2 linked regions of the Macaca mulatta genome follow. Each later gene encodes a partner of the first gene's protein in a complex. Links are inferred from orthologs where the notes say so. Each region holds a gene or a part of one and is shown on either strand. Other genes may lie near its edges.

Region 1 (3,809 bases):
CTTTTTTTTTTTTTTTTTTTTTTTTTTTGAGACAGGTCTTGCTCTGTCACCCATGCTGGAGTGCAGTGGGGCAATCATGGCTTATTGCAGCCTTGACCTCCTGGGCCCAAGTGATCCTCCTCCCACCTCAGTCTCCCAAGTAGCTGAGTCTACAGGCACACACCACCATACCTGCCTAATTTTGTTTTTTATTTTTTGTAGAGATGGGTCTCCCTATGTTGCCCAGTCTGGTCTCAAACTCCTGGCTTCAAGTAATCCTCCTATCTTGGACTCCCAAAGTGCTGAGATTACAAGATGTGAGCCATTGCGCCTGGATGGAATGTTCTGTATCTTGGTAGAGGTGTAGATACGTGCATTTCATTGTACCTACCTTTTATCCTCCCACCCCCATCAAAAACATACTTAAAAACAAAACCCCTGGAGGACATGGCTGTACATGGGCAGGGCTGTGCCTGTGGGGCTTCTCTGCCTGTAGGAGGCTGACCTTGACTGAGCCAGCACCCAGCTTCACTGCCCCAGCTTCCCGATGGCACTCAGGATGCAGCTGGGAGAAATCAGTGTCATGTCACACTGGAACTGCCTGTGCCTGAACCTCAGTCAGTGAGTGATATGGGTACCATTTGTTACAATAAATGAGAAGTCTTGCCATAAAGTAATAATAATAACTGGGTGTTGAGAAGAGCCAGAAGGAAATCTGGCAGAGGACAGCACATGAATTGTAATCATTTTTATGGCCTCCAAACAGGGTTGGTGGAAGGAGGCCTATGGTGAACATTCACCAGGCCTGGCTCCCACAGCCGGCTGTACACTCCCGAGGTGACTGAGGGTGAAGTGTCTGCATGCTCTGTAAAGGGACAGAGAAAAGTAGAAATCTCTGCCTTGTTTCTTTTGAAAAGTGAAGGAAACCTTCCTAGACCCACTGCTCCCCTCCCCGCAGTCCCACCCTAGCAACCCCCTCACATTTCATTTGCCAGCATGATGTCAGACAGGTCCAGGTCTCAGCAGGCCACCCACAACGGGAAGGAGACTACCGTGTGGCCTGCTCACCCCCCAGGGCTCAGAAGGGCCAGTGTCCCGTGGGGGTCATCGCAGGAGCAGGAGCAGTGTAGGGCTTTTGTCCTCAAGGAGGATGGGGGAAAGGTCGATGGCCAGTCCCCCATTGAAGGGTAGGCACCATCCGGGCCTTTTCCATGCTCTTCCTCATTCGTTCCTAGGAGCAGACCTGTGATGTGGGTGCCACAATTCCCGTTTTCTAGATGAGGGAACTGAAGCTCTGAGAGGTTCATCAGCTGGCTAAGGTCACACAGCTAGTAGACATCAGAGCTTCCATCTGAACTTGAATTTCCAGCTCCAAAGGCATGCTTTTTCCCTTGGGCTGCATGGCCTTTGCAAGATGCAAGCCCAGATAGCAGTGAAAGACAGTAATCACCTTACCCAGCCACTGTGCAGTGATTCTGTAATCGACATCCTAATCACTGCGCAATCTTCTCCTCAGGCCCCACAGCTGGAAATGCTCTCTTTCCAGGCTAGATCCTGGCCTGGGCTCAAGGCTCAGCTCAGAGCAGCCCCAGGCTCACCCCTGCTTAGGAAGACCAAGGAGGCATCACCTCCAGTTAGCACGTGGCAGTTCAGCTGCTGGGGCCCAAGGGTGACTCAGGGCGGTCCCTGTGGTGGAGCTGGCTTCCCAGGCGATGTGTGAGGCACGTAGCCACAGTCATTTCCCAACGTCCTGCCTGTGCCAGGCGGCATCAGTGTGGCAACCCGTCCCTTCCACATGTTGCCCCCATGGGAACATCCTATTTCCTTTGGATAAAATGTCTGGGTTGGGAGGGTGGTGGCTGACTTTCAGCCCTGTGGTCTAAGTCCTCCCACCCTTTCCAGTTAAAGGGCCAGTCCTTAGCTGGGCCTACATGCCCCGGCCATGCCCACCCGGCCTGCTTCTCTCCTCCTCTCTCCATCCTGCACTCTCTGTCCTGCCAGGTGGAGCTCCCTGTAGCCTCCCCTCTGAGATGGTGCTCACTCACATCGCCATACCCCACCAGGCTAGCTTTCTGCCTGGGGTGGTCCTGGTCAGTGCCTCCAACGCTGTGAGACCTGGGTCTGGAGCATCACCTGCATCAGGAGCCTGCTGTGACCTTCTGTGCTGGACCGGAAGCCTGCCAGTTTGAATTGATAGCACTCCTGGCCCACCTCCTTCCTGGCAGCACTGAGTGATTTGGAACCGCCCCCTTGACTGTGGAACAAGAAGGCTTACACAGAATTGCTGGGCGTGTGCACTGGGGATTGTAGAGTCAGATTGCCTGGGTTTATGTCTTTCTCCCATGGGTCTGGGGTGCATTATTTAGCCTTTCCCTGCTTTAATTTCCTCATCTGTAAAATGAAGATAATGACATACCCACGCTCATGGTTGCTGTGAGGACTCAATGTGGCCCTTACCACTCCAGGCCGTGATAGTTGGCTCAGGTGTCTGCCTCCCTCACATCTTCTCAACTGCATTTCCAGGACATAGCACAGTGCTTGGCACATTGCAAGCCTTTGGTAAATGTCCATTGATTGAATGAAGCCCATAGTCCTTCAACATCATTCTGGTTCTGATGATCCCTCTGAAAATTGATCTGAATCGATTAATGTCAGCAGCAGCAGAACTGATGTGGCCCAATGCATAATCCCTTAGGACTCCTGTAGGTATCTCAAGACTGGCCACACCCCCAAATATGAGTGGGCTCTGGTGTGGTGACTTGGAAACAGGAAGGTTCGAGCTCTGTGTCTTGCCGGTGTTGAGCTCTTCTCTGGTAAAGGGCTCTGCAGAGCTGTGGAACATGATGTGGTCTTTGTAACTTGTCTGGGGAGACCTGGGGGAAGGTGCTGCTTTTAGAAACATCCAGGCCAGTCATGGGAGCCCCTGACGCAGGAAAGCAGCAGTTTTCTCTCTGCTGACTTCTCTCTCTTGCCTCCCTCCATCCCTTTTCTAGCTACTATGCTGTCCTGTACCCCATGGTGTACCCCATGAAAATCACAGGGAACCGGGCTGTGATGGCACTTGTCTACATCTGGCTTCATGCACTTATCGGCTGCCTGCCACCCCTGTTTGGTTGGTCGTCTGTGGAGTTTGACGAGTTCAAATGGATGTGTGTGGCTGCTTGGCACCGGGAGCCTGGCTACACGGCCTTCTGGCAGATCTGGTGTGCCCTATTCCCCTTTCTGGTCATGCTGGTGTGCTACGGCTTCATCTTCCGCGTGGCCAGGGTCAAGGCACGCAAGGTGCACTGTGGCACAGTCGTCATCGTGGAGGAGGATGCTCAGAGGACCGGGAGGAAGAACTCCAGCACCTCCACCTCCTCTTCAGGCAGCAGGAGGAACGCCTTTCAGGGTGTGGTCTACTCGGCCAACCAGTGCAAAGCCCTCATCACCATCCTGGTGGTCCTCGGTGCATTCATGGTCACCTGGGGCCCCTACATGGTTGTCATCGCCTCTGAGGCCCTCTGGGGGAAGAGCTCTGTCTCCCCGAGCCTGGAGACTTGGGCCACATGGCTGTCCTTTGCCAGCGCTGTCTGCCACCCCCTGATCTATGGACTCTGGAACAAGACAGTTCGCAAAGAACTACTGGGCATGTGCTTTGGGGACCGGTATTATCGGGAACCGTTTGTGCAACGACAGAGGACTTCCAGGCTCTTCAGCATTTCCAACAGGATCACAGGTAACTTGGGCGTTGTTAGGATAGTCCCTCCGAGGCAGATGAAATCTGTGGTCCTCTCAGCCACGCTGGCCTGTTTGTGGGTGGGTTCTCAGGCTGACTGGTGGTGAGGCTC
Region 2 (4,331 bases), on another chromosome or scaffold:
ATTAATGGTCAATAAGTCATGTTTCTGACTCAAAATTTTCCAGCTAAATCCATTTTAAAGCCTAATAAAATCAAGAACCTTTGTGTGTTTAACTCAAATCTATATAAAATCGGATAAACAACGTCAACCCCATGTAACAGTATGTGTTTTAGTGTAGATATCATTGGTGGAGGATACAATACACTCTCCCTGAAAAGTGAGTCATTTGATTTTATGTCACTTTAGCTATGATGCTGATATATAAAATCTATGAGGCTATGAGATGATGTCTTCAAAGCGTACTTTCAAATGTGTTACAAGAAGCTGACTCTTTAGAGCTCACCGTTCTGTTCTTCAGACCATATCTCATCCCATGTTTTTCACAGATTCATAGTCTAATAATTTTTATTATATAGAAAGCATTTTCTGCTTCCCATATCATTTTATTATTTTTAAATTATGTTCAACTGTATAATCACATCAAAACAACGTTGGGTTGTCACAACTCCTGATCCTATTTGTCTTCTTGTTTTTTGTTAGTTTCTTGAGATGATGATTCTCTCTCCCCTTTAAAAAAATTCTCCCCTTTTTGAATTATTTTAATTTAATGCATTTAAAAAATTTTGGCTGAAGTAATTTCCAATTAACGTCTTTCCAGGCCGAGCATGGTGGCTCATGCCTGTAATCTCAGCACTTTAGGATGCTGACGTGGGTGGATCACTTGAGACCAGGAGTTTGAGATCAGCCTGGCCAACATAGTGAGACTTGTCTCAATTTATTTATTTATTTTTATTCATTCATTTATTTATTTTGGAGACAGGGTCTCCAGCGCACCACCCAGCTAATTTTTGTATTTTTTGTAGAGACGGGGTTTTAGCATGTTACCCAGGCTGGTCTTCAACTCCCGAGATCAAGTGATCCGCCAGCCTCAGCCTCTTAAAGTGCTGGGATACAGGCATGAGCTGCCGCTGTCTCTATTTTTTTTTAAGTTTCCTTCCAGAAATATATGTGGATGAGAGTATACTTTGAATACTTGCATATCCAAAGATTTATTTTACCCTCACACACCAACAACGGTTTAACAAGGTATGAAATTCTAAAGTTACACTTCTGTATCCTCAGACCTCTGGAAACGTGTGCTCTGCGATATTCTGCAGGTGAGCACTGGAGGGGGCAGCTCTGCTACTGCTCAGCCCACGTCGCTGTTTGAGATAACCTGCGTATTTACTGGTTTTTGTTGTTTCTTCAAAAACATTTCCCTTTGCTTTAAAAATTAGATATTTCATTCACCAGAATACAACAGCTAGGTTTATGTTGTTTTAAATTATTAATTATTGCAGTGCAGTGGACAAGTCCTCTCAAACTCAGTATTTATTGTCTTCTAGATCTTAAATGAAAGTTGCATTCATTTATATGCAGGCATCTTGCTAAAATCATGGAATACCTTCTCTTCCATGTATAGCAGAGACCATAGACCTGAACGACTATTCTTCCTTACATCTCACAAAATTGCCATCAAAAGCCCAATTATGATTATTTCGTCTTAAAATTTAAAAGGCAACAAGTAGTATCAGGAAATCGTGATTTTTTTTTTTCATTCTACGGTAGAGTGCATAGAACCATGTTTTCTGATTGTTGTAGGAGCACACGTACTTGCTATAGGTAAGCTCTGAAAAATACTACTAGGAGAGCAAGCATCTGGTTCCTTGAAAACGCCGGGATTCGGCGCCCGCCCTCCTGCACGCGGTTACACAGAGAGCACGCCGGGGCCGCCACCCCCTCGTGCCGCTGGTTCTCCAGCGGAGCAAACTTCCCAGAGCCGGGGTTGATCTTCCTCCACAGTAAAACCTAAGTGCAGCTCAAGTTCTTTCTCAAAAGGTAGCAGGCCACACCCACCCACAACACTGTGCTTGGAATAAAAGCTTTGCGGTCAAGCTAAAAGGCCTTATCCATCTCCTTTCATCTGTGTTCTGAAACCAGACCGCCAGCCTCCGCGTGCAGCAGGAAGTGAGAGGCCAGGGTAGACATCCCCGGGGATCAGACCCTGCGGAAGGCGCTCAGTCGAGGGCGAGACTTCCCAGAGAGGCTCGTTAATGAGAGCGAGCGAGCGAGCGAGCGGCAGGAAAAGCTCAAGGCACTGGGAGCGGCAGAACCGGCCCGTAGCGTCCTCCCGGCCAGGTCAGGGGAGCCATTCCCCCCCCAGTTTAAACACTCCGCAGCCGGTCCGCGCCCGCCGCCCGTCCGGGTCCAGTCCCGGGATTCAGGAGCCCCTCCCGCCGCCGCTCCCCGGCGCCCACCAACCCCGCGGGCCCGGCGGGCTGTCCCCGGGGCGTGAGCCGACCGCGCGACCGGGACCTACCGAGCAGCAGGAGCCGGTGCGTCTGCTGCAGGTCGCGCTTCTGCTCGCGCAGCATGCGGTCGATGCCCCGGCTCACTTTCCTCGCCTCCTTGGCCGCCTCGCGCTCCTCGGCGCTCAGCTGCTCGGTGCGCTGCCGCTTCTCCTTCGGCTTGTCTGCTTTGGGCCGAGCGCATACCGGGCTCCCGCCGCCGCCCCGAGGGAGCGAGGTCCGAGCCGTGTCCCTTGCGGCCGCCCGGACTGGGGCCGGGGCCGGGGCGGGCTGCGTGTCCTGCACCGGGGGCTCCGAGGCCGCGCAGGGGTCGTCCCCTGGGCCCCCGAAAAGCAGCGGCCGCAGACTGTAGCACAGACCCATGTGGGCGCGGCACGGCGGGGGCGGCGCGCGGGACTAGGGCGGGCTGGGCGCCGAGGGCGGCCTGGTTCCCGCGCCCAGTTCAGGCCGGCGCCCCTGCGGAGGGGCGAGAGGGGGCTACACCCGGACCCTGTTCAGCGCTGCCGGCCGCCAGCTGCGGGAAGGGGGTGCGGCAGGCCCGGGCCGAGGGCCACGGCCCCTCACTGCCCCAGAGGGCCATTTTGCATTTTCCGCTGGGTGCAGGGGGTGGCGGCCGCCTTGGCTGGAGATCACTTGATAACGCCCAGAGCTGGCCAAGCCGACGGGCCTCAGCCAGCCCGGCCCCGTTACCGTAAATGCCGCCGCCGGTCCGGCCCTCGCTACCGTAAATACAGCTGGCTTTCGTTACCGTAAATACCGCCGCGCGGGCGAGTATTCTGTACCGTAAATAATGCCGACTGAGCCCGGCGCGCAGCTGCGGACAGTACCGCAGTGGCTGTGCAGTCAGCACCTGGAGCCGCAGTTGCGGCAATTAGAAAACCAGGGTGGCTTTGATCTTGGGTCATAGTAACTGAGGACGGAAAGCTGGGTGCAGGAATAGCGACCGTGGCTTTAAAGCCTTCAATTTCCCCAATCCATTGCTTGCAGAGATTCTGCACCTTGCCACTCCCTTTTCTGCTCATTATCTTACACACATGCCCGCACACTCTTTATCCCTACTTTAATACTACTATACCTTTGACCTCTACAAAATCTCCAATTCTGGAGTCTGGTCCACGACACCATTTTCAACAATTTCCACCCTTAAAAATGAAAACCGAGGACATATAATTGCCATGTACTATTTATATTTGCTGAAATGAGAATATGAGATTGTACACTGTATTTTCTTAATCCACAATATAGCGCAGAGAGGAGCAGATGCGCCTTCAGACTGGGTGCGCTCTCTCCATGACGCTGAGAAACAAGCCCGCCAGAGGTCCCATGTCTCCGGTTATTTCCCACTGAATGCACAGCATCTTGTAGAGCTTCTGCAACAGGTGAACATTTTAATATAGCTTGTGAATAACCTGCTGTAAGATGTGTTCCTTGGTTTCCGGGAAAATGACATGTAATATTATAACTGATAGTTAAATACATCTCTTATTAACACACCAGATTAGGCTGTTTAATGAAACGTAGCATGCAGCGCAGTGTACACTGCACCCGTTGGCACTAGATGTAAATACTACATTGGATTACATTTTTTCTTTTTGAGACAATCTGGCTCTGTCGCCCAGGCTGGAGTGCAGTGGTGCGATCACGGCTTACTGCAACCTCCACCTCCCCGGTTCCAGTGGTTCTACTGCCTCAGCCTCCTAAGTAACTGGGACTACAGGCGCCCACCACCACTGCCAGCTAATTTTTCATTTTCTTTCTTTCTTTTTTTTTTTTTTCTGGGCATTTTTAGTAGAGACGATTTCACCATGTTGGCCAGGGTGGTCTCGAACTCCTGACCTCAAGGGATCCAGCCACCTCGCCTCCCAAAGTGCTGGGATTACAGGCGTGAGCCACCGCGCGGGGCCTGGATTACATTTTTAAATCAAGAAGTTGGAGATCCGGCATTCACATTTCTTTTGGGGGTCCTGCTAATAACAAATGTGCATACATGTACTGCTTTTGACC

What was found.
Region 2: the proteins of GPR161 (region 1) and GNAL are in contact, whole or in part, in a cryo-EM structure (PDB 8KH4), measured with the Homo sapiens proteins. The link is inferred for Macaca mulatta from reciprocal best matches to the Homo sapiens genes GPR161 and GNAL. Residues at the interface, in NP_001254539.1 of Homo sapiens: Arg125, Ala128, Val129, Leu130, Pro132, Met133, Tyr135, Pro136, Met137, Ile139, Ile211, Val214, Ala215, Lys218, Ala219, Lys267, Ala268, Thr271, Trp327, Asn328, Lys329, Arg332; in NP_001135811.1 of Homo sapiens: Ala41, His43, Lys203, Val204, Phe206, Phe363, Cys366, Arg367, Asp368, Ile370, Gln371, Arg372, His374, Leu375, Gln377, Tyr378, Glu379, Leu380, Leu381.

What each region holds. Positions count from the first base shown.
Region 1 is NC_133406.1:25,630,586-25,634,394, reverse strand, and holds part of GPR161 (G-protein coupled receptor 161), read left to right. Parts: intron 1-2,972; coding exon 2,973-3,697; intron 3,698-3,809. UniProt on the Homo sapiens protein: Key negative regulator of Shh signaling, which promotes the processing of GLI3 into GLI3R during neural tube development.
Region 2 is NC_133423.1:81,840,912-81,845,242, forward strand, and holds the start of GNAL (guanine nucleotide-binding protein G(olf) subunit alpha), read right to left. Parts: upstream 2,966-4,331; 5' UTR 2,691-2,965; coding exon 2,339-2,690; intron 2,158-2,338; exon of another isoform or gene 1,778-2,157; intron 1-1,777. UniProt on the Homo sapiens protein: Guanine nucleotide-binding protein (G protein) involved as transducer in olfactory signal transduction controlled by G protein-coupled receptors (GPCRs).